Schizosaccharomyces pombe: one gene and its partners. Changing the gene in region 1 together with any one later gene gives a genetic interaction. Each region holds a gene or a part of one and is shown in the gene's direction. Other genes may lie near its edges. The genes, in order: mca1, set5, sap18 and hel2.

The links.
Region 2: mutations in mca1 (region 1) and set5 together harm fitness more than expected from each alone (negative genetic interaction), as found in Schizosaccharomyces pombe (one large-scale study listed by BioGRID).
Region 3: mutations in mca1 (region 1) and sap18 together harm fitness more than expected from each alone (negative genetic interaction), as found in Schizosaccharomyces pombe (one large-scale study listed by BioGRID).
Region 4: mutations in mca1 (region 1) and hel2 together harm fitness more than expected from each alone (negative genetic interaction), as found in Schizosaccharomyces pombe (one large-scale study listed by BioGRID).

Annotation. Positions count from the first base shown.
Region 1 is NC_003424.3:2,982,510-2,991,943, reverse strand, and holds mca1 (transcription factor), read left to right. Parts: upstream 1-3,090; 5' UTR 3,091-3,514; coding exon 3,515-5,608; 3' UTR 5,609-5,934; coding exon of another isoform or gene 5,935-7,158; 3' UTR 7,159-7,211; downstream 7,212-9,434. Other genes in the region: chaperone Rot1, read right to left, coding at 1-446, 673-787, 837-971; U2 snRNP-associated RNA-binding protein Sap49, read right to left, coding at 1,484-2,379, 2,437-2,548; SPOM_SPAPB1A11.03 (L-lactate dehydrogenase (cytochrome)), read right to left, coding at 5,935-7,158.
Region 2 is NC_003421.2:2,033,694-2,040,697, forward strand, and holds set5 (histone lysine methyltransferase Set5), read left to right. Parts: upstream 1-1,985; 5' UTR 1,986-2,067; coding exon 2,068-3,027; 3' UTR 3,028-3,300; downstream 3,301-7,004. Other genes in the region: protein Dms1, read right to left, coding at 1-181, 239-313; met1 (uroporphyrin methyltransferase), read right to left, coding at 4,259-5,749. UniProt on the Schizosaccharomyces pombe protein: Histone methyltransferase that monomethylates 'Lys-5', 'Lys-8' and 'Lys-12' of histone H4 (H4K5me1, H4K8me1 and H4K12me1, respectively), thereby controlling gene expression and remodeling chromatin structures.
Region 3 is NC_003421.2:2,137,428-2,144,253, reverse strand, and holds sap18 (SAP128 family histone deacetylase complex subunit), read left to right. Parts: upstream 1-3,064; 5' UTR 3,065-3,079; coding exon 3,080-3,243; intron 3,244-3,410; coding exon 3,411-3,684; 3' UTR 3,685-4,371; downstream 4,372-6,826. Other genes in the region: lsm2 (U6 snRNP-associated core protein), read left to right, coding at 58-83; putative signal recognition particle subunit Sec65, read left to right, coding at 923-1,145, 1,199-1,575; U5 snRNP-associated protein Prp18, read right to left, coding at 1,988-2,062, 2,108-3,064; SPOM_SPCC126.12 (NGG1 interacting factor 3 family protein), read right to left, coding at 5,127-5,263, 5,329-5,499, 5,552-5,866, 5,920-6,133.
Region 4 is NC_003421.2:1,831,842-1,838,216, forward strand, and holds hel2 (ubiquitin-protein ligase E3), read left to right. Parts: upstream 1-2,732; 5' UTR 2,733-2,771; coding exon 2,772-2,868; intron 2,869-2,913; coding exon 2,914-3,111; intron 3,112-3,169; coding exon 3,170-5,073; 3' UTR 5,074-5,623; downstream 5,624-6,375. Other genes in the region: RNA polymerase I upstream activation factor complex subunit Spp27, read left to right, coding at 142-334, 407-618, 752-901, 1,073-1,219. UniProt on the Schizosaccharomyces pombe protein: E3 ubiquitin-protein ligase that plays a key role in the ribosome quality control (RQC), a pathway that takes place when a ribosome has stalled during translation, leading to degradation of nascent peptide chains.

The DNA of each region.
Region 1 (9,434 bases):
AGATACTACTAAATACCCAATACTTCCAATTGCAATCAAACCTAATCCAACCCACCAAATGGTATTGGTATGCTTCTGAGCTAACGGTACTAGAGGAGCCGTCCAGCGCTTTGCTGCAGTTTGAATAGTATTAACGGCAATAGTTGAGGTAGGGAGCATCTTAGGTGGACGGTAAGCTAAAAACATTGGCTGCTTTGGTGTTCCGTCCCATTCATAGAGCTCTAATTTGTAGCGACCATGGTATCTATCCATAGAAATTTCATATTTTTCCATAGTTTCAACTTGATCATAACGGGTGTAAACAGAAAAATTGCTAGTACAAGGATCGCTTTCTAATTGTCGTCCGTCTCCAACAAACGGAGTTAATACTAAAGTACCGGTATCATTGATAGCATAAGTTCCATGCTGCCATTGTAAAAAGCCTTTGGGACATTGAGGCTTTGTAGCTAAATTGGGTTAGCAAAAATATTAAAGAAAAATAATATCTTCTCTCCAACATATCCTTCCAAATGGAAGAAAGTTGGTTACTTGGGGAATTTCGCTAAACATGAACGAGAAAGTAGTCCGTATATCCCAATAGTTACGTCTTCATCGGCTTTAATTCCTTGGATCAACCACACTGTAGGTGTTGACTGGAGAAGATTTTACATATTATAGAGTATTATCACATACCATTTGATTTGATTATGTAAATAGCTTCCTCAAAAAAGCCATCATCAGTAAAGCTATAACTAATACCCGGTAATTCAGGTTCGAAGAAATCCTCATCCAAAGGGTCAAAGAAATCCTGCAGAGGGTTAGTTAGACAATTTTTTGAAAATCAAAAGTTAGCTTACGGGGCCAGTCAAAACAGTTTCAGACTTGGAAGACCAAGTTCCGACTAGATTTTCATCGTAATTATCAATTTCCGCACCAACATATTGGGTGAGCCACAAACAGGTAAACAAACCAATTTGATAAAGAAGATGCATTGTGCTGAATGCTTTCTTATAGTTTTCTAAAGGGTCGAATAAGAAGCTGTTACCAATGTTTATGCAAAAAACTTCTATATGGTTGTTGACACAAGTCTTCGTGTACTTGATTTATTTAGTTTTACGGGATAACGAGTCAAAAATAATACTTCACTAATATTGGTCAAGAGATTAGCAGCTTATATTTAATATAATGCTTAGACTATACTTTCGTTTGGATTGTATACATAATTCAATGTATCTGAAAATATGTTGGATTGAATTAATGCGTCGTTTATAGACTATATTGCCGATATTTAGGGACGAAGTAAAACTCATTACTAGAAAAAGTCAAACTGTAAAATATAAACAAACATCAATTTTAATTTCTTTTAAATAAGATAAATCTCAGCTTCCACTTTTTTTACTGTACACGTTAAAAAAAAAATCAACCATACGGATCAATCTCAGCTATTTTACTATGCCGGCGTTTGAGCAACAATGGTAGTTATTTTGCTTCTTTTTAAAATATTTTACCTCCTTTGTTGTTGACTGTATCCATTTTGTGCATTGATTGTTTGATAAAATGGTATGTTTGGCATTACAGGAGCACCAGGTATGGTAGCAGCAGCAGGAGAAGGAGAAGCCATCACCATTCCTGGTGGTGGAGGGGGGACAAGTGGTGCACCTCCAGGGCCCATTGGAACATTCATCATTGGCATAGCAGGCATTCCAGGGAAATGCTGTGCAGCAGTGAAAGGAAGAACATTAGGTATTGACAAGGGAGGGACGGCAGTAGTTGCTCCCACTAGAGGAACATTCGGTACAGGAGGTATCGATGTAGCAGCAATTGTTGCTGGAGTATTAGCAGCAGATGTTGGAGCAGGAGTGGCGGGTGAAAATCCTGGAGGCAGAGTACTCTGAGGAGTAACGGCAACTTTATTCTTTTTAGCGGCTGCTGCTAGCTTTCTTTCCGCAATATCTCCGTGACGTTCACCCTTTCCTTCGCGTTTAAAGGCGTATGACACGGTAATTGGTTTATTCATTAAAAACTGATTATTCATGGCCTCAATGGCTGCATCAGCGGTTTCAAAAGAATCGTAGCTAACAAAACCATAACCTTTCGACCTTCCATTCTCGTCTCTTGCTACCTGAGGTGCCTTGACAAGTTGTCCCAAAGCAGAAAATGTATCGTACAATACGCGTTCATCAACAAGAGGATCCAAGTTGCCAACAAATAAATTTGCACCAATTAAGGTATTGACTCCTCTGTCCTGGCTAGCTCTATTGACCCTTATAGGCTTTCCAAACAACTTTACTTGATTCAGAATTTGACATGCATACTCAACATCTTGTTCGTGTAAGAATTCGCAGAAACCAAAGCCATTATGACTATTCCTTACTCTATCTCTTGGAATATGAATATTTACTGTATGAATTAGTATCGAAAGCCACAAATACAACCAACACTCGAATAATTACATACCAACTGGACCTGCCTGCAGGCATAACTCAAACAAAATAGAATCCGTTACTTTTTCATCAAGATTGCCAAGATATATAGTTGCATCCTGATTCCTGTCTTCTCGAATACTCATTAATAAATAAGTAAAAATAAGTTAAAGTGTCTATTATAGAAATTTATTAGAATAAATAGATAGACACGTTTGAAGACGCTGGTAGAAGATTCAAGAAATTGGTGCATAGTCTCGTTATTGACTTAATGACGAGCACCAAATAGCACAATAGAAAACTAAATTACAGTATTCATCGTTAAAATTTCAGTGTCCAGCGTTTTCCAAACACATTTATGGAGATTTTTAATACTAAATCTTCGTTTTTTTTTTATTATTTTATAATTTTACTCATGAGATTGAATTATATTCAAGTTGAAGGTACAGTTGTGAATGGTAGACTGACGAAATATTTTTTATAGCAACCTATCTCTTTATACAGCCCTAATTTCCTTACATCCATCGTACACTAGTACATTTAATAGGTTCATTTATTAACTTTTTGTAAAAACGATGTTTGGCCATGTATATTTATTTTTGCTGCTGTAGTTTTGAACACAACTGAGGGCTTATTTATGTTACCCTAGATGGGCTTTTTACTCCCATGTGGTCTTTGTAACCTTCTTATGATCTTCACCCTTCAGGTGATACCACGACTTCAGTTGAATTTTATAGCTTTTCGAGTGTGTTTTTAATCAAAATATTTCTGTGATGTTGGTGTTTTGAAAAAGCGTACTTGTGTAGTCCTAGATGCCCCTTTTTTCTTTCACTTAAGTCTATTATTGTTTATGTTTAATTTTCTACTTGCAAACTTTTCGAAAGGACTGTTCGTAGCCTTTACGTTTATTGCTTATTTATTTTTTCTGATTTAAGCTCGTGAGCTTTTTCTAACAGACGTACGATCAGACAATTGGCACGTCTGCTTTTCTTTTCTTTTCTTTTTTAAGACCTGTCTACTCAACGCAGGATTTCTTCGATTATCTAGGTTTTTAAACGGTTTAAAAGGACACAGAATATTTTATTACTTCATTTTAGTATTTTATTTTCGACATGATTGCTGCTGTCGAAAAAGATGCTGTGCCTCGAAAAAGGCGAGTAATCAGTCAAGTATCTCAGGCATGCATTCGGTGTAGGCAGAAAAAAATAAAGTGTTCTGGTGAAAAGCCATCATGTCAAGCTTGCAGTAACAACAAAGTTGAATGCATTTGGCCTGATCGACCGAATATGCGAGGCAAAAAGCCATCTTCCGCTGCCAGAACCTTGAGTCCTCTTACTGGTATAGTGCAACCGTATCTGGGCTCTCATCCTTTTTCTCCTACGATCCTCTCTCCATCATCTCCTAACATGGATTTTACTTACTCTATTAATAGCTTTGGTGACTATCAGAAGCAGTTAAGGCTACCAACCAGTAGAAAGTTATTACAGCTTTGGGACATATTTCTTAAAACTTCATATACCGAACTTTTTGGGATATTTAATAAGGCCCAAATTACGTCTCAAATTGCAAGTGATACTGCTCCGCCAGTCCTCGTACTTTGTATATGTGCTCACGCTGCTCGTTTCAGTCAAGAGGAAGTCAATAGATTTAAATCTTCAACTGCAGCATCTGATTACTACGCAAACCAAGCCTTTTCACTGCTTCCTTGTCGTTTCCAGGATATTTCACTGACTAATATCACTTGCCTGCTCTTGCTTTGCTTAATTGAGTTGGGCTCTTGTAGAGGCGCTAAAGCCTGGCTTTTACTGGGTATGGCTCTCCGTATGGTCGATTCTTTAGATCTTGGTAACGAAATAAATGATAATCCTCTTACGATGGGATCCAACACTGTTTCATGGACTGAAGCCGAGCAGAAAAGAAGGGTTTATTGGGCTTGTTTTTTTGTCGAACGTTTGCTAAGTACAGGTTACATGGCACCTTCAAAATTGCGCTCACTTTCTTTATCTCTTCAAAAGACTAGTATACAATTACCTTGTCCGGAACCTAATTTTTTATTTAATCAGCCAATTCTTACTGAGTTATTTGATGGATCTTTACCGGAAAACACTCAGTCAGACACCACTTCAATGGCCCCATACCAAAGAAGTTTACAACTGGAGTTTATGACGGGTTCCCTAATCCGCTTGTCAAATTTGTGGAGTGAGATCTCAAGATGGGCTCTATGTGGTGGATACACGAAAGATATCACACCCCCTTGGCTAAATCAGTCTCAATTCCATCGTAGCTTTGAGCTTTTAAAAGCCTGGCATGAAAATTTACCTCCAAGAGCAGTTTGGTCATACACTAACTATTCGGCGTATAGTTCTCCCGGAGAATCGGCTGGTGCCTGTTACACTTTTATGCATTTGCTATATCACACTACCTTGACCTATCTTCTGAGAAACGTCTTAGATTTATTTCCTGAGAAGTCGAGGCAGAAATCCAAACTTTTTTCCTCTGTTTCACAACGCTTCGGACAACAGCCTCCTACTGTATGGATGGATATGATTTTAGATCAAGTCATTACTTCTGCTGATTTCATTACAAAACTTTCAAAGGACCCCTTAAACTACATAATGAGCCCATTTGTGGGGTTTAGTATATTGACTGCTGCTACTATCCATATGCTTCTTAAGTTTTGTGTTGTCAACATCGACCAAAATTACATTTCTTCCTCTCGACTTGTACACGTTGATCATCAGATTTTACAGGATCGATCCAAATATTGGAAAATTAATCAAGCAATGTTGGTAACTCTTCAGAGATTGTATAATTTCTACCGCTTTCAGTATTTAGAGGAACAGTCACTTTACAATTTCAAAATTCCAGGATTTCCTTTATGTATTCTAGAATATGGTATAGTGGAAGATCAGTCGATGAAGTCTAATCCTGATCTGAATTCATTTTCAAAAGAGTTGTTTTCAAGAGGAACAAACGAGCTTTTGAATAATGGCGATGATACTCAAAGTGGGAATTCGACACCTGCTATGGGTGTTTCTGAAATACGAACTGATACTATTCTGGATGAGGAAGTCCCCGTAGACCCACTGATCACTTCGATTTTAGATGACGGTCGCTGGTGGGAGGAAATGTTTGGATCAGAAAGGAAGGCGGGTTTTAAGGAAACGGTGTTCGAAGACATGAATGGAAGAAGTATTCGATTGTAAATTATACGATGTACAATAGTTTCTTTAGTTTTTGTTTCTTTATTCTTTTGTATACTAGCACTCTAATTTAAAAAGCTTATAATGCTTTACTTTTTCTACACCCCTGGAATTCCTTTTATTCACGAACTCGAAATTAATGATATTGATGGAACTGGTTACTTGAGTCAGTTTCTCATAACACTTATTGATTGCTTTTTATGCTTATTAATATAAGTTACTCATATTCTTATTAATGGGTAGTTTTATATTACTCATAGCGTAAATAAATATTAAATGGTATAACGGGAATTAAACTAAATTTGCTGATCATTAACTAATGCATAAATTTATTCCTCCTTATATAAGACATCACGGTTTAAGTCCTTTGGTTTCACAGATACAATACCAGATAGATGTAGCGTTAATTCCAAATCTCCCAAGAGACAACGAATGACATGACTAACACCGGATGAACCTTCAAGGGCTAACCCGTAAACATAGGGACGACCGATTAAAACCATCTTAGCTCCTAATGCAAGGGCCTTGGCAATGTCAGCACCTGAACGAACACCAGAGTCAAATAGAACATCTAATTTATCACCAACAGCATCTACGATCTTTGGTAGCATCGTCAAGGAAGCAACACCTCCATCTTGTTGTCTACCGCCATGATTTGATACAACGATGCCCTGCATGCCATATTCAACTGCCTTCTTAGCATCAGGAACATTCATGATACCTTTGAGAACAATTGGGCCATCCCAATGTTTACGAAGGAACTTCAAGTCTTCCCAATCATGGCTGATTCCAGGAAAGACAATTCCAGCAAACTCTTTAGCTGCCTCTAACATATTTTCTTCGACTTCCACACCATGCTTCTCCTTAAACTGCTTACGGAAAACGGGGTCGGAAAATCCGTGTTCAACACCGATGCTGTCAGGATTTAAGAATGGATCGTAACCATTGTCCATGTCTGAGGGACGCCATCCAAGAATAAATGTGTCAAGAGTAACTATCAAAACTCTGCAGCCCGTTTTCTTGGCGCGGTTGAGCAAACTAATGGTAATGTCTTGATGGTCATTGCTTGGCCAATAAAGTTGATACCATCTCTCTCCAGGACCACTAGCCTTTTCTATATCTTCAAAGCTGGTTGCAGACGCAGTACTGATAATATAGGGTATATGCTCTCTAGTTGCAGCGGCACACGATCCACTTTCACCCTCTGGATTGAAAATTTTTTGTACTCCTACAGGAGCCAAGGCAATAGGAAAAGGATATTTTTGGCCAAAGACAGTGGTAGACAAGTCGGGGAAACCAGACTTGATGAGACGGTTAGGAATGATGGACCATTTCTTAAAGGATTCCATATTTTTATCATATGTCTCTCTTTTTCCTGCACATCCGTAAACGTAGCCGGCGGCATCCTTGGTCATTCGCTCAACAGCCAGTTGCTCCCAGTGTCTGCCATCTACGGTGATTTGGGGTCTTTGAAACTTGAGACCTTTAGCGTAAATTTCGGACTCATATGAAATGGGCTCTTTTGCGTCAAACCAATTGTAGTTGCGGAACATAGTTAAATCGTATTGAGAATTTATTGATTACTTAGATAATGTCTTCGAGAAAGGGAAGAATCCAAAAATGTCGTAAAAAAGTAATAGAAATTAAAATGATGAGTTTCTTAACTTTTAAGGTTCAAAAGTCTTCTGATATTGCAATGAATGAGTGAAAATATCGGACCGACAATTTCAACTTGGGACGAGGAGTGTATAAAGGCGAAGTTGTATTTTTTTAATATTTCTTAACAGATAAAGTGGTATTTAAAAGTAATAGTTTATATTGTTTTTTATTACAGCAATTCAGTGCTACATTTATAACTTTTGGTTTTCGAAATTATGTAAATATGACATCTCAAGTTTCATATTAAAACATTTGTAAACGAATTCGCTTTCCGTACCCATTGGGAAAAGCGAAATCCCGTTTTTGTCCAAATTTGAAACAACCAGAGATGATTTCATGAAACCTTTCATTAATTATTTTCCTAATGAATTTAGATGTATTGCGCTCAGCTACAAAGTCCATGTTCATTTAGCATCCTTTCTTATACTACGATGGCAAAACGGCTAGCATGAAATCGGTTCATTTCTACAATATACAAAGTAATACTGACATTGATTTACCTGCTACTAAAAGGCCCACGTGCCCGTGGGTTTCTCTAGCTAGTTTTTCCAACAGGACATATCTTATAACGATATAATGGTGAGTAAGTTAAGCATATTATTTATAGCATAATATCGTAATGAGGTTGGTAATTAATATTTTGCAAATGGATTCGTCTTGTTCTGCAACTTTGACATGTTGCTAAACCGTTCAATCTATTCTTTGCTAAAGAGGCTATAGGAGGCCAGAATTAAAGGGGGTGGTTTGATGTCCGGAAAGCGTATCGACCGATATTGTAAAAAATTATAATGTTAAATAAGAAAAAAAAAGTTATTACTTTTACGTTTCAACACTCAATTCAACGTCTAAATGACAAAGGATGAACTCTTTAGGTGATCAAGTCAATAATACATAATAATGTTTGGTATGTAACAAGACAACAGACATAACTACGACCCTGTGTTGCTCCGAAAACGCCGCTGAAACTGGTACTTTGAGATTCATAATATATGTCGTCAGGGTGAAAAACTATTTAACAAAAAATAAAGTACATCACAACTATCAGATATGGGATAATCGATAAGAAACAAGAATATCTATTATTATTGTTATACTATTTATAGAATCACAAAATGCATTCTGCAATACTTGTAGCTATATTAACAGTTCTATAATCAACCAGTAGTGGTTGTATTCAAGAAATCTAACTAAATGCTACTTGCTTGATCACATAGTAAGCGTTCTTAAACACTGGAATTACCACAATTCCAGATTATAATAGTATGCAAGTATAACTATCCCGATATAACGAAACATTACGTCACTTCAAATAATGTACATCGTAAGAAGACTTAAAGGAGAAAAGTGCTCAAAAGGAAATTTTCTTCTAGATACAGTACAAATGAGTTTGTCGTATTAGTTATTAAAGATTAGAATTTAAAAACCCCGTATTTTTTATCCCAAATATTATTATTATTATGTTTTTTTTGGAAGTTTTATAATAATTTTATTTTTTTGGTACAAAAGGACAACTAAATTAGTTCCAACATGTTATACTTTAAAAGCAAAATACATTTTGTAGCTCCGAAAGCATTCATCTTTGGTTAACGTGATATAACTCATAATTTGATTTTTTTAACGGATTTATCTCCTTCCGCCAAAATATATCATTCTAGGCCTCGACTTGGAGGGAATAGAATTTTGACAGGTGAATTGGATTATTAATGAGTTTATTAAAAAATATCAGATTTATGAAACAGCTACTCTTACTATTGGCGTTCGGTTCTACCCAATTGGTTGTTACCAGTGTTCACGGATAATTAAATAGTTAAGTATGATGAGTGTTGTTTGAAGAGTTCATTTGTTGCTTTATTTAATTAATTTTAATATTAAAAGCCTTATTTTAATAATTGACAATTGTTAATTAACGAAACAAGTCTTGCCTTTCTTATAAAATGAATAAATGAATAGGACAAGTTTCAATCCAGTAGATAAATCAAAGTTCCTTTTTTACATTTATTATTCCATAAATTCAAAGCAAACCTCACCTAAAGTTAGCCATATCATAAATTATACTCATCTTTCTACCAGCACATGTATGTGCGGGATGAATCTCTCTTAGGCGCCTTTTAACAGGTAAAGTACCTTAAAATTTAAGAGGTGGAGAGACAATGGATAACACATAGTCAAT
Region 2 (7,004 bases), on another chromosome or scaffold:
TAGAAACGTTTACGAATGCTTCAATAAGATGACAAGCGTCCTGTTTCGATAAAAGGTGATTGGGATCATTCTCCACAAATTCCGAAGCCAACTTTCGGACTTCTTTTTTCATCCAAGGGTTTTTCGTAAACAGCTCACTATAATGAATGTCAAGGAGAGTGATAAGTTCGGAAATGGAAATCTGCAACCATTGTTAGAGAGGAAAACAAGATGCTTCTATAGAAATGATTTAACTTACCTTCGAATGGGATATCTTGGAGATCTGTCCAAACAACTCTTGGCTTTTCGTCAATTCATTAGGAACGGAATTCATACTGCAACAAGTGAAACTTAATAAATTTTCAAAAATAAATTTTGATTTGAAAGCAAATAGTTCTCGAAGGGATTGAATTTCTTCCGGCGAAAGGAGTTTAAAGAAATTTAATTTTAGATGCAAAAGAACAGTGAATCAGAACAAAAAAGGAAGTTAATAACTCGATTTCGCTTTAATAAATAAAAATATTATCATAAACACATTAAAAATTCTATCAATAGACCTTAACTATGTTTTTTATACAGAAAGGAGTATGCCGTCAGTCAAGTTGTAACTATATTATCATTTCCATAAGAAAACTTCTTGTTTTTCCTATTGATTGAAAAATTTACTAATTAAATAGTATCGTAAACTTCAAGTAAAATTCATCAACTAAGTCGTAAGGGACTAATGGTTGAAGATGAACGAAGACAATTTCATAAAAGTTATCGAAGTAACATGTGACTTGAGTTACCAAATTATTGAAAAGGGCATGTAGTAGTAAATATCAGAAAAAAAGTAGGTAAATAATAACAAATGTAGGCGAGTTAGAATAAGATTCGTTCTTTTTTATTATTCCTTTTTAATCAACAATTTGTTTTTTTTTATTGAACCGAAAATCATCGACGCCGAGTAAGAAAGAGTGAGATTATAATAATCCTTGACATGAAGAATTTTATAGTGAAAAAGTATCTCTGATCTTAAAACTTTCATTCATTTTGTCAAGGTCTGAAATGGGGCACATTGGTCAAGTTTCATTTTGTTCACCCTACGAAATACCTATGCACATAATTCACACATTGACAAGGTACGGAAATGCCGAATATTATAATAAATCAAATTATTTCTAGTTTACCCTTCAAATCCTAAATCTCAAAAACTCTGGTACAGTTTCTTTTAAGTGATTTAACTTACATTAACCGAAGTGACATTTACAATTTTCGTTTCAAACAATATCTACATATAAAGTACTGTGTTATGAAGAACTGGCCATAGCAAGATTTTGCTCTTGAGTTCAGTAATTCTCTAAGTTTTAGTATACCAATTCCACATGCATATCGAATAATGCGCATCCTTTTATTTCATTTTAGGTACTTTTTCATGATAGTTTGACATTTATTTTTTAAATCTAAAAAATAATAATAATAATGTAATGCAGAAGCTGTTTCAGGTATCAACATACCAATAAATTCTAGGATTTCAATCTAAGCTTAATCACAAACTTGCGATTATATTTTTTGGTAATGCTAAACCATCGTTTGAAGGATTTTTTAAACCATTTTAATTACGTGTTTTGATATCTTTGATACGGTAAGAAATGGAGCTTTTGTTTCGTCAATTGCCAATCTACATTTTTCTTGTACGAAGGATTTTATAAAAAAATATGATGACAAAGTTTATGATTAATTCAAGATCCTTGACAATAAAATATAAACAAATTGCTATAATTAATAATAAATTTAGGAATATATTTAAAATGCCATAACACTCTGAACATTTTGAAATTCGAATTATATTCCTTTTCTTTTTTTTTTTTTTTTGAAAATTGACAGATCTCTTGGGAAAAACAAATTGTGATATAACCAATTGGGGTTAAAAGTACAATAAAAGAAAAAGAAATATTGGAGTAAATAGTAAAGAACTATTTTCAGCTTTATCCATATATATTGGATTCTTTTTCTCTATTTTTTGCAGCGTATTTCGTAACCACCAAAATCTCCAAACTTTGAAAACTTTAAGCGTCCATGCGTTAATGTATTGCTTAATCGTACTACATGAACCCGTATGAAACAGAGATTTATAAAGTTGTCCCCATTCCTAACAAAGGAATGGGTATGATTGCAAAAGTAAAAATCCCCGTCGGTACAAGAATTTTTGCAGAAACGCCTTTGATAAGGACAAAAAGTGACGCTAAGGAAATCGAGGAAGCACTGTCTACAAAAACAAAAGAAGAACAGGAAGCTTTTCATAGACTTTTCAACGCTCATCCAGACACTATGGGACCATTCCTTGGGCCATTTTATTCCAATGCGCTGACCATTGATGAGACAAAGGGTGGAATGTTTTTACTTGGTTCTCGAATGAATCACGATTGTAGTCCTAACGTGAAACATACGTGGAATCCTAGACTTGATCAGGTTACGGTTCATGCTGTTCGCGACATCGAGGCTGGCGAGGAAATACTTACGACATATATAGACTTACATAAATCACATACGGAAAGACAAAAAATATTGCTCGAGCATTTTGGATTTAAATGTTATTGTAGTGTTTGCTCTGTAGAGGAACGAAAGATTAGGAAAATCAGCGATTTAAGGAGAAAGCAACTGGCCTACTATGACCGAACCATGGCAAAAATGTGTATAGTTAATCCAAGAGGTGCTCTAAGAGCATTGAGACATAGGATACACATTGCCCACGAAGAGCTTCTTTTCGGTCGGTTAGATATAATTGCACTTCTGGATGCCTTCCGATTATGTGTCATCCACGGTGATTTTGAGAGAGCCAGTATTTTTGCAAAAAAGGGGACTAAAGCAATTAGTTTGTATGAAGGAACTGATTCTGAAAAATATTTGAAAATTTCCAAGTATGTAGAGAACCCACGAAGTCATGCTCTTGCTGAAGGAGTGCCTGCTCTACCATTATTTTTAGAAGAGGATGATGAACTATCGGATTTGGAAGATAATTTATGGGGATGTAAGCTTGAAGAAGATGTTTATAGTGATACTGATTAAGCATGGGGTAAAAAACTACTGTTTTTGTTTTTATTGGAAAATTGGGCATGTATTGTTAATGCTCGTCTTAACTTTTAGTTTGATGAGCTTGGGATTGTATTTATTCTATTGAAAAATTATAAAACTTTTATGGATGATAAAAACCTGAAATTGAAACTATCTTCCTGAGATCCTAGAGTTTTTGTATCTCCTTTCTTTTTTATAAATAAAAAATTTAGAAACCTATTGGGGTTTGGCATGAATTGTAAATGATTGAGAATATTTTAATATGGAGAATATTCAGTATTTAGCATAGAAGTGAGTACTGATTTAATTCATACAAAAGGTATTTATAAAAGAAATTTATAAGAAGGGTTTGCAGTATTGAGTAATCACTTCCTATCGAGTTGTAAACATTATTGTTGAAGAGATTTAAGCATTTGGTGCATGTTTGCTGATTTTTTTAAAATATCCAAAAAATAGATTCGGTATTTTGAGCAAAAGCCGATTCACAAATAGAACCAGTAAATCAATAAACCAAATATTCCTTATTATTCAAAACAACAAAAAATTTCTTCAGAATTATACACATTCTTAAGACACTGCTTTTGTAACAATATATAACATATTCTTTAACCTCTAAATAATAAATGCATCAGTGGTGTAGCGGTAACATCAATGCCTTCCAAGCATTAGCTCCGGGTTCGACTCCCGGCTGATGCAGTTTAATATTTGCTTTTTTAGATTATCTACTAAAATGAATATCATTCTACTAAAACTATATTGGATAAATGAATCATGAAACGTGTATCAAAATGTTCTAATACAAAACTGATATGTTGATTCTATCTATTTGTTCATCTATCCTTACATTTAAAATAACAGGTTATGATTGTGTATCTTTATTTAGCAGTTGCTAGTAATACAGATGAGTATAGTACACAAATATCAAGCCAAAATATCTTTCCACTGACCATTAGAATTGTTTTAAATTAAAATCATACTAAAAATAAAAGAACTGCTGTATACAAACAGAGTAAATAATGAACTGGCCCCTGAACAAGTACAAACCAAAAATTAAACCATGAATAAATATTTTAAGAAGAAACAACGAAGATTAAACTGACCGCATATTATCCAAAACAACCTAAGAACATGAACATTGAGGTCGAAAACAGTAAAAGACTTGCTAAAGGAAGATTAAAGACGAACCTACTACATATAATAAAGGGAAAATAATTCATATAGATAGTTACGCGGTGTTGCGAAGGGTATTACAACTGTATCCAGTAATCAGCAAACCAGGGGGGAGAGACTCGTACTTGTTGTATTCTTCCACAACGTCTTCCAAAGTAGAGAAAATGAACCTTTGATCAGGGCAAGAGACGCGCTCAGCTATACAAACCGGTAACACTCTAGGCCAACCGCTTTCAATTAGTGCTTGCACAAGAATTTCTAGTCGGTGTAAAGCCATTAGGAAAACTGTGGTCTGTGTAGGGACAAAAGAAGGTATTTTAGGCATCGAACCCTTTTGACCAGTTCCAGTACACACAAGAAATTGATCGGCCACTCCACGATGTGTAACGGGAATACCAGCAGAGATAGGGGCCATCAAAGCACTACTGATGCCAGGAATAACCGTTGGTACATAACCGTGTTGTGTAAAGAATAGATACTCTTCACCGCCTCGCCCATAAATATAAGGATCACCTTGCTTCAAACGGACAACATAATCACCTCTAGATAAAGCATCAAAAGCAACCTGGTGAAGTTCATCTTGTGCCTTATCCGCATTTCCAGGAAATTTTCTAGCAATAAATAGTGGAGTATGCCTTGGAATTAACTGTAATACCGCTTCTGGTACCAGCTTGTCGGCTAGTACATAATCGGCTTTCATTATAGCCTTTCTGGCAGCAACAGTAAGTAAATCAGGAGAGCCAGGTCCACTTCCAATTAAAGCTATTGAACCTCGCTTATGAGTAGGAAAAGCCTCAGGGTCAAGCGTCAATGAAGGCTTGTCCAAGGTGGTTGATAAACTTTCATAGGAGTTGGCAAGTGAAGAAGATTGGCTTGATGAGAGTGGAAGAGAGAAGTTGTCAGAAACTATGGCAAGAAGATCGTCCTCTGTCATCCGAACCAACTTCTCGAGGGGCCAAAAATCACTAACATGATTGATCCACTGTTTTTTTTCTGGAGTTTTAGTGATCGCTCGCACTCGGCCAAAACGCTCAATGGCTTCTGGCATACCGGAAGGAAGGCTACTCACCACGTGTCTCAACAGCCTTTGAGCTAAACGACAACCATTTGATGAAGTACTTAAAGAAATTTGAAGAGGTGGTTCTGACCACGTAGCTGGTAGAGTAAAGGAGCACAAAGAAGGATTATCAATGATGTTTAATGGGATTCGGTACCTTTTGCACGTACGATGTAAAATTTCCTTTTCATGGTGGTTGGACTCTGACACGAAAACAGCATCCACCAAAAAATCTGTCTCCTCCTTTCCCAGCGTCGTTAATGAACGAACGGGATCAAATTCAGAAATGGGAAGAATTTCAATAGCATCCGATTTTTTTGCGTCAAGCTGAAGATGACCAACGTCAAATCCACCATCAGCGGAGCTGCGACAAAACCAAAAAATTTTAGAAGAATTTTCACTTAAACATAAATTCACCCGTCGGTAAGCATTTTTTCCTGAACCAACGACTACAACAACGGCGTCTTTCAAGGACCAGGAAACAATCATTGTAGTAGTTTCTAATAGGTTAACTCAGGTGTACTTGGTAGAGAATAGGTTTTTGCCCAAAATTTTTTTTTAATCTCCAAATATTGCGTCAATCTTATTTTCCAATATATATATTTTCACTTCAATTTTTCACAATTTTAGTCACTTCGTTTTGGATTGTCTTGGTGGAGAAGAAGAGCTGCTGGCTGAAGTACTGCAAAAACCAGACTTTGTTGTTCTACGCAAAAATGCGGGAAAGAAAGGAAAGAAATATCTCATAAACCAACAATTTAGCCTTTAGCTTAAGTTACAAATTTTAATTCTTTCTACGAAGCAATCGAGCAATTGATTGCAACACTATTAAACTGATTGATTAACTTGTAGAGAAAGACAATTGTGCAGTGGTCGTTAAACCTCGGTAAATTGAATAAAGATTTTCAACGATAATGAAAACAATAAATAAATTTTGTACTTCCGAATATCGCTTTAAATCCTCTTTACGTATTACAACAACCCGTTATCCGACCTCCTTCCTTGTTCTTTTCGCTTGATGAGCGTTTGAGGTCTTGCCTACACTTTATATGACTGCATACATCAATCACCAAATGATGGCGCAATTTGCTGCAAAAATGATTGATCGTTAAAATTTTTTTGCGGAATACGGTAATCAACCAATAACCATACTTCTTTAAACCAGGTAAAGTACCAGCGGTAGAGCTCATAAAATATTTCTATCAAGGCATCGTTATTGCACGATATAGTACAAAAATAACCTTGCTAGTTAGTACATGACGAGTCCCTTAGTCACTGTAGTTTTTGCTAATTAACAAGTTAACTTGCATGATAGCTTTCCTCTAGCTTTGGGGAAAATTTGGCTTAGTAAGATAATGAGTAAAAAGTTTTAAGGAAGTACGCTTTGATATTCACAAAAAAAGAAAATGCTTTCGAACTGCGTTACTTAAGTATGAATGCAAACATCTGAATCCTCATATAAATAACAAACCACAATAAAAAAATGGCCCACTTGTAAATGTCATACTTCCTCCTAGCCAAATCAGAGATGTTAATATATATTATGTTTAGTGATAATGTTGCTCACATAGGCCTTAACGTTAACGAATTTTTGTAAGCGCTAAACGCATATTTTCCGTATTCATAACTTTACATTTTCTTCATGCATGGGTGAACTCTCTGTTGACGGCGAGTTTTCTTTTCTTTTTTTCTAAAGATATTTCAAGAGGCGAATCGACTTTTTGAGTCAAGCGAACAAGTGTAG
Region 3 (6,826 bases), on another chromosome or scaffold:
TAAGCCATGATTTGTTAAACACTGAAATTTTAGCCTTATTAACTCACTGGTTTTTAGACTTGGCTAATAATAAGCGTCAATAATTCCTTTGAAAATTTCCTTTTTTTGGTCAATATATTCGGAAACCGTGAACTAATTGCTTATTTAATCGTAGTTCGGTTATTCATCATGTGTCCCATTGCGATTTTTTTCATGCCCGCAAAAGGAATATACATGTGTATATACATCATTTTATTAAGGACCATTGTTGTTTGAAGGTATTTTCCTCCCCTTTCATTCATCCATATTCTTACTACCTTTTCGCTTTTCTTTTAAATCCAGCTTCCCTATTATGCCTGAAACCGATCCCTTAAAATTACCGTTTTATTATCTTCAAAAAAAAAAATTAAGTAGAAAATTGTTGGCGTTTACATGATTTTTGTGTACGGCTTCTTCCATTAATATAGTTGATGAGACTTTGTCAATTATCATAAAATACATACATCGTTACATATCGGTTTATTGCTGCGAGAGGGAATTTTTAGCACTCATGCATCATTAGCAACAGAGCGTTTGTATTACTTTAAAAGATATCCACTCAGATTTGTGTTTTACAAGTCTAATTCTTCTTCCAATTTATTTTACTGATTTCATTTGTAGGATTCAACCGATCTCACCTTTAAGCCAATCAGGCACACTCTCTTTCATCGTTTTTTTAATATATTTTGTATTCTTTTAAGATCTTCCCAGTGAATGATACGATTTTACTTTTTTAGTGTTCTTAGTTTTATTCTAAGTTAATCATGAAAAACGTCTTCTTTTTAAAAATAATTGAAATGTTCAGTAGTAAGTTGAAAGTAAAATCGTATTTATCTACTACATACGGTTGAGCAGCATAAGTATGATATCGCATTTGCTGCCAACTACCTCACTCACCATCCACATGCCATCTATCATATTATATCCCATTTACTTTGACAAGAGCCGTCCACGTAGGTTTCGTTGTGTACCAAAAGACAAAGCAATTTTAAATCCGTTAGCTAAAAATATTGCCGATGTTGTTCGCGATTTGGGATATAAATGTAAATTGGAACCATTGAAGACACATCCTGCAGATTGGGTCAATCCAGGTCGAGTCGAAATGGTATTACCTGAAAAAATACAAAGTAAGATTGTTATTAGTTTTATTTTCTCGTATGCTAACTGACTGTGAATGTAGAAAAGTATGTCATAAACGAAATCGCCAAAGTACTACTTCTTCGCCCAACTGTTAAGACAGATCCTTTATCGTTACCTATTCAAAATGTTCCCGCACGTCTTCCTGAAAATCCTCCTGCATATCCTAAGGGGGTTTTAGGAAATACGATTTTACCTCTTCATTCACCTGCTTTATCTGGCGGTGGTATCTCTGAAAATATGTTCCAGGAAATGATGCAGGAAATGCAAAAGCAACCTGGATTAGCTGGAGGTATGAATCCAATGGCTGCACTTGCTGGTATGGGAGGCCCTGCTCCTCCTATGCCAACTCCCCAAGCATCTTCAAGCCAGCGAAAACAAAAGTCAATTGAACCAGAATATGATTTGGATTTGGAGTAAACTTATTGTTTAAAACTGAAATATTAGGAATATAGGTGCTTTCGACTATTAGCAAACGCTCATGGATATTAGTAAATTTTTTTTCTCGTCATCTTTTAACAAAAAATTTTTTCCTAATAATGAGTATGGATGTAGAGTTTCATTAAAGATGAGTTCATTTGCACAGCACATTCTGCTTTTTTAAGACTGAGTTCTGGTGGCATACTTAATATTTTTCTGTCTTTTATAAATGTTTCGCCTCTCGTTATATCAGAAGCTGTTTCATTGTAGTTTCTTTCATGCCAATTCAGAGGCGAAATTTTTGAATATTCTATCATTAGTAAACCATGTTTGACATAGTCGTTTTCAAAAGTTTAGTGTGAACTGTATAATTAAATTCTTTTTCGACAACAAATAGCATCTTTTTCGTACTTCAATCCGTATATTCAGGTAAGTTTGATGACTCTCTTTCCTGAAAAGTAATAAATCGCTTTAAAGCTTGCAAACACTAACATGTGAAAGGTTAGACTGGGTACTTTATCTAAAATCTTACCTTTCTCTTCTTTTCGTCTTTAAGTATATTTGAACTTGGATTTGCTTGTAATCGTTGATGTGCACTTCTTTCATGAATACCAACCATAGTAACTCCAATAGGCCAAGGTGCATTTCCAATTGTCAGACGTAAATACATATCATTGGCTTTGACAAATTCGTGTTTTTGGCATCTGTAACAAATTTCAGCTATGCTTTTAAAAATATCGTCGTTTAAAGCTTCATCGACTATCAGTTGTATAAGTACATCAAGATCTTGCTTAGCTTGACGAAATATTTTTAATTGCATCTGACTCTCAGAACTTTCGAAAGAGTTGATGGATTTTGAAGACAAAAAGTTGTCCCAAATGCGGATTCCATGTTGAAGAAAAGCAACTACTTGCTTGGATACTTTGGGTTTGGTGGTAGTAGCATGCTCAAAGTCGATTGTTTCAACTCCTTTAGTAAGGAGTTCATTTTCAATTTCTTCCAGTTTTTTGTATTTTAGCAAACTGTAATATCGTTGAATGGTAGCCTCTTCTGACTCTCCAAACAAACGAATTGGCTCTTTCATCTCACGAAGCTTTGCAATAATTTCGGTCAACGTGAGGTTGTCTTTTGTGATTTCAGGTATTGATAAACGGTCGTTTTCGGAGACAGATAATTTTGTACTTGCAGGTGACGCTTTGACAGCTGGTGAGGGAGTTGTTGTTTCTGTAAGCAACTCTTCATTTCTACTGCTCTCTTTGTTCGCAAGTCGTGAAATGCGTAACTTCTTTTCTTCATATTTAAGACGTTCTTCTTCCAACTTTCTTTTTTTCAACTCTCTTTGCTCATCCTTTTGTTGTTTTTCCTGCAGATATTTCTTTTCCCTTTCCTTCTCCCAATCCCCTCGTCGAAACGCCTTTTTTACCGGAAGTTCGCTCGTTCCTTCTAGTTGGCGACGTTTACGTTCAATTTCTTCCTTTAAAAAATCCATTTGGGAGGTTTAGAAATGGATATTCGTGAAAGTCGCTCTCAATCTCCTGAATTAAGCCAAAGTGAAGATGCTGTTGGTCCGTGCCCTTTTCTCATTTCAGTATATCATCAGTTCCAAACAAAAAATCATGTTTTAGACATCTTTGAAGACGTGATTCCTTCTATTCAAGTTTATGGATGGTAAGTAAATCGTGTTAACGGGAAAATTTCAGTTGTTGTATATGAACTCATACTTCATTGGGACTACGATTAGAAAATCCGTCAAAGGATCATCCATGAACAATTTATATGTCAATTAGATTTATATGTTTCAAATCTTAAACTTTTATGCTAACGATTAATCTTAGGTTGACCATGACCCTTTATGAACTGGGAGTTCTCATTGCAGATCAACTTCTTTTGAATAACGAAGAAACAAGACATTCTGAATGGTCATTGCAAATTAGAACAATTTTTTACGATAAGTATAAAGATCGCCCGATAGCCAGGGATCTAGGTACTGTTTGTTTGCACAATCCAAAGCTATTTCAAGGCAACAAATTATTGAAAAGAACGGGAATAAAATGCGGAGACAAAATTGATGTTACCATAAAAGAGGATAAAATTAGAATAAAAAAGTGATTCCTTGATCGGATGGTACATATATATTTTTTGGAAGTTTAATGGGTTTGAGAACGATATAAAAAACGAAGTGCATGACTGAAGAATTCTATTGTAAGATTTATTTAAAAGCTTATCTTAATTCTATTTATATACAAAATCATAAACCGCTACAACCCTGTTCACTAATCTCATATTGTATGTTTATAAGCTTTGAAGCTTTGAAAAGATTCGAAGCTCTTTAAGTTGAGAAATTTTTTTTTCCCATACTCTTAAAAAAACCTTTGACGCATTAAGAAAAAATTGTTAGTGTACTTACTATTTTCCTTATTGAGTTATGGAGATATACTTTAGCTCGAGGCCTATCAAGGATTCAGGAATCACTTCTGCTAAATTTATATATATGCTGTAGGAAAAGAAAGCGTTTTTTTTATTATAATTCACATTGGAAAGGATTCAACACTTTAAATAGCAGAATCTTTTATCATTTTTTTTGAAGCGATGGATTAAGCGGTTAATGTTTTCCATTGTTTAATAGCGCTAACATTCGGAAATCCGATTGAAACTATTTTTCAAAAAAGAATTATAACTTCTATTATTAACATGGTTGATATTCGCATGATAAATGCACCATTGATCCTCATAATGTAAATATCTATTCCTTTAAAAATGCTGTCAACTCACCTTTGGCTACTTAACTATTTTCAAAATATAAAACTCGTATTTTTTTTTTGCCTAAATACAATTAAAAAACCATTCGCAACCCATACAAACAGAAAACGGATTGTAAACAGTTAAATTATAATTCAGGCAAGTAACAGACTTAAATATTTATAAAGTTTTATTACAGCCCGATGTTATCATTGCTAGAGTAAATGAACATGAATCAAGGTTACTCCGTTTGCAACAGCTGTAAGAAGCTGAATTGTTATTTTCTGAATCGGTGCTACAAGCTAACAGCCCAAAATCACTTATTATTTTTACAACAACTTTAAGCTGATATCTTCGTTTCATAACTAAATCCAAAGTATATTCCTTCAATTATTTAATTTCATTTAAATTTAATATGAGTATTACAATATGTATAACTAAAAAAAATAAGTTTTCAATAATCTCCTTTAGTATAGGGGTAGTACACAAGCCTGTCACGCTTGCAGCCCGGGTTCGAATCCCGGAGGGAGAGTAAATAATTGAAACTTTTTTATTTAGCTAAACAAAGCTTAGTTTTTGAAGCTTTGGCATCATTATGACCGATATTATATTAGTAAAACATAAATCAAAAATTTCCTAATATACCTGGTTCAAGATCAACCAGTTTGGTTCTCTAAAAAATGTACTTCATATAGAAGAGTAAGAAGAATCTACAAATTATGAGTTTTGTGAAAAGTCAAAATTAATGCAATTTAATTTTAGCATTTCTTCAATTTATGTTAAATAAGTAACAGCTTTTTATTTTAGTAAATCTACATGGTAGTCAAAGGATCAGCATCCATAGAAGATACAATCACATTTGCATCTACTCCTTCTTTGTGAAAGGATGAAGCCAGTTTTTGACACATTACATCCTTTAAATAACCTCTTTCTGTATTGGAATGTCCGCCTACATTGTTGTTAGTTGAATAATATATAATACCAAAGAGGTGAACTGAACAGATTTTTCCTTACATAATATAACTGAGATTCCTTTGGCCATCGCAGCTAAAACTTGATGATGAGACAATTCACCAGTAAAGTAAAGATCTGCATCCGTATTCATAACCACAGATCCACCAGAACCTGCACATAAAGAAACCTTGGAAATATGAGAATCTAATCCGTTAGGTGCACACACTTGGACTACAATCAAATAGGTTAACAATATTAACAATAAAGATAAAAAGAAGCTCACCATATTGCAAGCCGGTTAACTCCTTAGCCCTTTGGACCAATTCACGCAAGGTTGTAGGAATCTTCAGTTCGCAAATTCGACCGTAACCTTCTGCCTCAGCCATGACAGAATTTTGCTGAGTTGGGACCACGCTTTTAATGTTGTTTCGTCCTCCAGCTATACCTTGGGCCAGCCAGTCATTTACTCCATCAACAGCAGCATCAACGGCTGTATGAGGCGAGTAAACGTGAATTCCTTCAGCAGCAAGTTTTAAAAGGCTTCTTTGTTGGGGATCCTCCATCGTGATGGCTTTAAGCCCACGAAAGATAATGGGGTCTAGTTGTGAGTAAGTTGTGTAAACAATAAAAGTAGAAGGTTAACCGCCATACGATATGCTACAATAGATGATACAAGTTTATTTGAAATAGCTTCTTCAGCAACTTTCTCAGTCAAGTCAATCGTCAAAAGTACGGAACTTGCATTTGTTCTTGGGAAAGGAGCCTCAAGCAGAAGCCCAGTGTTGTCCCAAGAATCCGCCAATTTTGGATTATAGATGGACTCAACTACTTTTTTTAATTTGGAAGAAATATTTGCCTTAGACATATTTGGGGAAAGATACCATTAAACGCAGTGATTCCTGAACGACCGTAAGACCACGTTTACGACAACACTTAGTCCTAGGATATGCTTTCTCAAATCTGCTAAATTCTGTAGAGCATGAAGGAATTCTAGCAACGCGTAGCAATACACAATTTTAACTATGCAGTCCTGCGTATCGGTAAAAAAATATTGAACTGCATAGCGAGCATTAAAAAACGATTAGGTAGTACTTTATTATTTTACCGATATTTTTTTATCTATCCTAATACAGCTAAAAAAATCTACGCTTGCAAATGCCTCTATATAAGAAATGCTGAGTGTTAATTTCACAATTTGAATATTTACTTTGTTTATTAATTTCCTCTGTTTATAGAAAATATTTTTTCAGTCAAAGGAAGAGGCCATAGGCATTTCTATCCCATTTGTAAAAGAGCATCCAGTATTTAATGTTTGTAGTGCGTATTCTTCGGGACATGAAATAAATTCTTAGGAAAAAAAATCTCGTTTATTAAACGTACAAAACAATTTAGTGTCTAGTGTTCTAGTTCATCAAGTTTTTAAAAACGTTCGAATGCAATCTCATTATCATTCAATCGGTTCTAGTACTTCTTAGACTACTCGTTACATTCAAAACATATACATTGGTAATGCATTAATCGGTTTTTATATCTCCTCAAGCGTTAAAAATGCTACAGC
Region 4 (6,375 bases), on another chromosome or scaffold:
AAAAATAGCGTGTTTTTCAAAATCGCATTTAGCTACACCAGCGCTCTTTCCTTCTTTACCGTAATCTATATCCACTACCACCGTCTCACTACACCATACTTTGACCAACACAGTAAGGTGGTAGTATAAAGAACTAGAACGATGGAAGAGTACGAAACAGACATTAAGCAAATTCTCGGTACAGTTGATCGCCAAACTGTATCTGCGAAGCAAGTTCGTCAACTTTTAGAAGAAAGAAGAAAGGTAGATTTGAGTGCGCATAAAAAAGACTTGAATGCGCTGATTTTGAAATGCTTTGATGAAACCGCCGCACCTTCAGAGAAGGAGAGTTTAGGTAAGATGAGAATATTGCTGGAAGAAATTTGCAAATAATAATGCAAGAAATAATAATTAACCAAACTTGTAGAAAAACAAGCACCCGCTCGCAAAACCAAGGGTAAGAGAGCGACGGAAAATGGCACTGAAGAAGGCAAGAAACCAGCAAAGAGAACCCGAAAACGCAAGGAAGATGGAGAAGAGGGTGGAAAACGCAAGAGGAACCAAGATCCTGCCAACAATCCTCTGAATAAGCCTATGAAGTTGTCCCCTAAGTTGGCCGAATTTTTGGGTCTTGAACAGGTAAGGCGGTGTTGTAGTGTGGAAGCCGTGCCTACTCGTTCCATTCAAAATCTTGTTGTTTTGAAAAAAGAGGCAGGCTTACATACTAAATGTTTATTTGCACGCTTTCTCTGCTGATTGCTAACTAACGTAGTTATCTCGTCCCCAAACTGTGAAGAAGTTATGGGAGTATATAAAAGCACATGACTTACAAGATCCCAACGACAAGCGAACAATTCTTTGTGATGACAAATTGAAAAGCGTTTTCGAAGTCGACACTTTGCATATGTTTACCATGAACAAGGTAAGTTAATCATGGATGGGTTCACAATTGTTTTAAGGAGGTTTGTCAACAAACTTTTACTTTGTCGATTGTAACTTTCCTTGTCTACTTTTTTCATTTGGTTACTTGTGGAAAACATTCCGCATTGCTCTTTGTTACCTGCTGCCGAAGCTAAGCTAACTTAATTAATAGTACTTAACAAATCTCATGACGAAGATTCCTGATGATCAATTGCCCAAACCTCAGCCTAAAAATGAAGAACCAGCGGCTCCGAACGATCTTCCCAAGCAGGAGGAAAAAGAGTTGGTCGAGCCTCCTACCGCCGAATCCACCGCTTGAGCCTTTGTGTTTGCTGCATGACCATATAAAACAGCCAAAACTTTTTTTCATATAATATCTTGCAATAATCCCTTTTTTTTTTGTCTCCAAAAATCATTCAAGTTTTTTGCTTTCATTGCATGCAATAAATGTTTATTTCGTTCAATACTCGCTTGCTTACCTGTTTTTCCTCAACAGATTTTGCCTATGTCCATGTCATATCCGTGCTTTAATACTAGAGGCTATGTATGTCTAGAGAGTCTCCACGCATAATCAGATATCGTATTTTGCATTACAACTTTCTGATCTTAAATGCAGTGTGAAAACAAAAGTTCAGGTTGCTGACTTTAGACCTTGGGTTGCTACAAGAGGTAATTTACGTTAGACTGACTGTGATTTTACGAATATTTCTTATCACCTATTCCTTATGGATATCTTTGTGCTTTTTTTTATAAATTCATATAGCATATTGATTTTCTTTTCTAAATGAACTGTTGTGCATGATGGAGATTTTCATGTATTGTATTAACACTTTCTTCACCGCACCTTTAATTATTTTACCGCTGCTTTGCTCTATAATATCATTGAAATAAAAAATGATTCACTTCAGCCCATTGTCGGGGAATTTTGTTTACGAAACCACCGTCGCTTGGAGCTGTCGAAGCCATATCATCAATAATAAATTTTATTTACTACCCTTGCGTATTACAAACCCATAATATGATGTTTGCTTTACAGTTTTGGATGATCTAAGATATGGCTTGGTTGTATGACTAGTACTCGTCTTGTGTCTATAGTGTATATATTAAATTATACGCAAATGGATGTTTTCTGGATATATGCTTTTAAGTCTCAAATAATGTACTGTCTTTTTAATTTGTTTATTATTTTATTTTGGGATTTTCTTTGGGGTTGCAAACCTGTCATCCGTTTGTTAGAGTATGTTTACATAAACATTTTTGTGTGCTTGTGGGTCGTTTTTTTTTTGGAAGATTGCTGCTTATAACCGTCAAAAGACTTATAAATTGATTAGACTGAGTGGAAAGTGTTCTTCTCTTTTATATTAGTCCTTAATGAATATACTTATTATTGATTGAATCATTTCATGGTGTTTACGACTTCTAAAGATCCAATCACACTTTAGATGAAGCCACATTTAACAGTTGTAACAATTGCATTTATTTGTAGACAGGACAACGCTTGCTTACATACATACACGACTTCTTGTTTAAGCACAAAGTAAAAAGATTATGGCGAAAAAGTTAGGGGAATATTTTTTTCAAAACAAATTAGTAAATTATATAAGCCCTTTATAAGAGATTGCTATTTACTTCCGCTGTACATTCAATGCTATATACGTTTCTAACAAAATATTCGATGCACGTTTCAAAAATCAATTCAGAAGCTTAAAAACTTTCCAATAATGTTGAAATTATAAATATATTCTTAGTTTGCGATATTCCAGCTAATTCAGAGGTCTCCAGCTAAACTGTTTTTTTTAGCATACAGCAGCTCGCTTTACGAAATTTTATTTACCCAGCGCCATACACGCAATCTTCTATAAACAATCAAAATGTCGCCTTCGGGCCCCAATTTAAATAATAAGGAGCACAACAGAGCATCGGAAAAAAAGAATTCTAGGACTCATAATAAAAAAACTAATAGGAATCGTACGTAACTTCCTTGTTGACATATTCCTTTTAACACATTTCAAGAAAGTAAAGAGAAACCGGTAAGCTCTAGGTCGGTAGAAACTCCAAAAAATGCAGTTTGCTTAGAGCCGGTTGGCACAGATCCTGTCAGTAATGTCGCTACTGTTGATGCTTCCAAAGAAGAACAGGATGAGGATGAGCAAATTTGCTTCATTTGTGCTGAAGGTATTACTTACAGCTGCGTCCTTCCTTGCAATCATCGTATGTCTTGTATCATGTTTTAAAAATGTTACAACTATGTTTAATCTAACTTAATTAGGAATGTGTCATGTTTGTGCTTTGAGATTGCGAGCGCTATACAAAACGAAGGAATGTACGTTTTGTAAAACCGAATGGGATACGGTTCTCATTACTAAAGATCATGAAATCGATATTCATGATGTCGATTTAGCAAAACTTCCTTTCCAAGATGAGAAACTTGGAATTGTGTATTCTGACGAGCATGCTCAAGAAGAATCCAACCTCTTGCTTCAATTCAACTGTCCAGAAGACGCTTGCGATATCACATGCAAAGGCTGGTTTGATTTAAAGCTGCATGCGAAGGTCAAACACCATAAGTTTTTCTGTGATCTTTGTGTTAAGAACAAAAAGGTTTTTACCCATGAACACACGCTATTTTCCAAGAAAGGATTGACAAAGCACAATGAAGTTGGAGATCAGGGATCCGATTTAGAGATTACTGGATTCAAGGGTCACCCGAAGTGTGAGTTTTGTAATACCCATTTTTATGATGATGATGAGTTGTTTAAGCATTGCCGTGAAAAACATGAACGATGTTACATCTGTGACCAAGTTGCAGGAAGGCCGACGCATCAGTACTTTAAAAATTATGATTCGTTAGAGCGCCACTTTGAAAAAGATCATTATATTTGTCGTGAAAGGGAGTGTTTGGAACGTAAATTTGTTGTTTTTGGAACTGAAATAGATTTGAAAGCGCATCAGTTGGATGAGCATCCCCACAACTTTACTCAACGCGAACTTCGAGAAGCACGAAGAATTATTCCTCAATTTAGTTACGACCCACCCGGCGCGTCCGGCAGGAACCGTCGTGAACGAACTTCTTCCACACCATCCGAACAATCTACTTCAGTGAATGAGACTGCCAACTCACTCTCTAACCTACACCTTTCCCGTGGAGAGATTGCTCACTTACGACAAGAAGAATATGTTCGCGAGCAACAAGCTCGCCATCGTGATTTTGGTTTCACGTTATCAAATCCGGCGCCTACATCTGCCCGCCCAGCGACATCTACTAGAACCATCAGCAGAGGAAAAACTAGAACGTTAAGAAACGAAGATTTCCCCTCTTTAGCCGAGGTTGCTAATCAAAATAGCTCTTCCGCACCCTCAGTACCTGTCTCCGCGCCTCGTCTGTCTGGTAAGTCTGCTTCAAGAAATCATGTTCCATCTCCACCCAAGGGCACTAAATCCCCGATGGCCTCTTCCGAGCAAGCACAACACCAACAAGTAATTGATCGGATGCAAAAATTGACGAATTACGATGATCACAAAATTAATGACTTTAAATTTGCTGTTTCTTCCTTCCGTGGTAATGTTATGCCCGCTCGTGAAGCTGTTGCTCGCATTACAAAATTAGTTGCAAAGCCTCATGAGCAATTGTCGGGCGTGTTCAACCAAATAGCAAATCTTCTAGAAAATAAAGAGAAGTCAAGGGAATTGTTGGAAGCTTGGCAGGAATGGAAAATACTGAATGCGAAAGATGATACTCGTATAGGTACTACTAACTCTAATCTTTTGCGCTTGAAGAGATCAAATAGGACTGCTGCTCAAACAGCTAGTGTTTGGAATCGTATTGAGCGTGCAGCAGCTCACGATGGGCCTTCTTTGTCTGCTCCATCATCTTCTATAAACCTAGCAAATATTACCTCAAGGCCAACGAACAGCTCAGCTGCAAATACTCCTTCTTGGGGTGTGCGCAAAGCACGTGCATCTGCGTTAAATGCAAGATCTGAAGAAGATTTTCCCGCACTTCCTCCTTCTACCTCGAAGAGAATTTCTGTTCAACTCGGAAAAAAGCAGGCTCGTCCCGTTGATTCATGGGGGTCTACACCAAATACTTCTTCCAATCGTAATAGTAATACGATGGGTGTTTCAAAGAAAAAAAACGGAAAAAAGCAAACTGTTTTGTTTCACATTGGTTGATTTTGGTTTATTGTATATAATAATTTTATTGATGGATGGGCATTTCGTTAATATATAATAATTTTGGGATGTACTCATTTATAATCTAGCACTTTATACCTTTTACCTGACTGTTGGGTTGTTTATCTGACCTCATAAAAGAAAGTGTCGTTTTGGAAAAATTAGCATTACATTGAGGGTCCTCCGCTAATGCTCCTGCGAAAAATGATTTTAATTTTGGATGTTTTTTCAGAAATAAAATGAAAATTAGCTTGATATAATATCAACCGGCAGCGAGTAATAGATTTAAAATAAATTTGATTAATTAAAAAAATTTGTTGTTTTAAGCAAGCCATTTTGCTAAAATCAAAGGTAATGGAAGAGTATTTCCGAAAAATCTCAACACATGTGAATGATCAGAAAATTATCGCCATAAAAGACAGAATAAGTCATCAGCGGTTGTTTCATTTCCTATATTTTTTTTTTATTTTTTTATTTTTTAATAAGGGAAAATTTAACGTCTAAGGATACAGAAGATTGTTAGCACATTAAAGTAATAAAGGCTTAAGTAGTAAGTGCCTTAGCATGTTATTGTATTTCAAAGGACATAATCTAAAATAATAACAATATCATTTCTCACAAGTTATTCAATTTTCTTTTTTTTTTCTAATAATATCAAGAATGTATTATTTGTTTGACATAAGTCAACTAATTTATTTAATATGCTGGATTAATCTTGCAGACATGTAAATTAACAAGTTTTAGTCAAATAACGTTGAAGTTTCAATGAACTCAAATAATTTCTCTTTTTTTTTATATAACCATATGTCTAATCTGATTTATATTTTCCGCAGGGATCAACTGAAGTTATGACATTTGGATTGGATCACTTATAACCTTGGTCGCCAAATAATACAAAAATCAGCGTTATAAAACAAAGAAGGTTTTTGTTAAGAAATTAATCCTCTTTCTTGATAAGAAAGTTGAACCGAAATTGCAGATACTGATATATGAAAATAATACCCACAATTTTGGGAATAGCGCAAGCCTCAATTTAAACAATAGGTGAGGACACATGATAATGACCTCAATGATTGTTAGAAGAAAAGAGCCTCATTACAAAATCGAAAAATGAATGGTTGGGTACAAGTTTCCAAAACATGGTAAAGTGGACTTTGCGTATGAGACGTAAATAGAAAAAAACACTTGTTATATGTTTTCTAGAATTATTGTTGTCTCTTTATGGTTGGATGATGCAAAATAGTAATTTCGGTTAGTTGCTGTAAAACACCACGAGACAAATAGATATGGATATTTATTAAA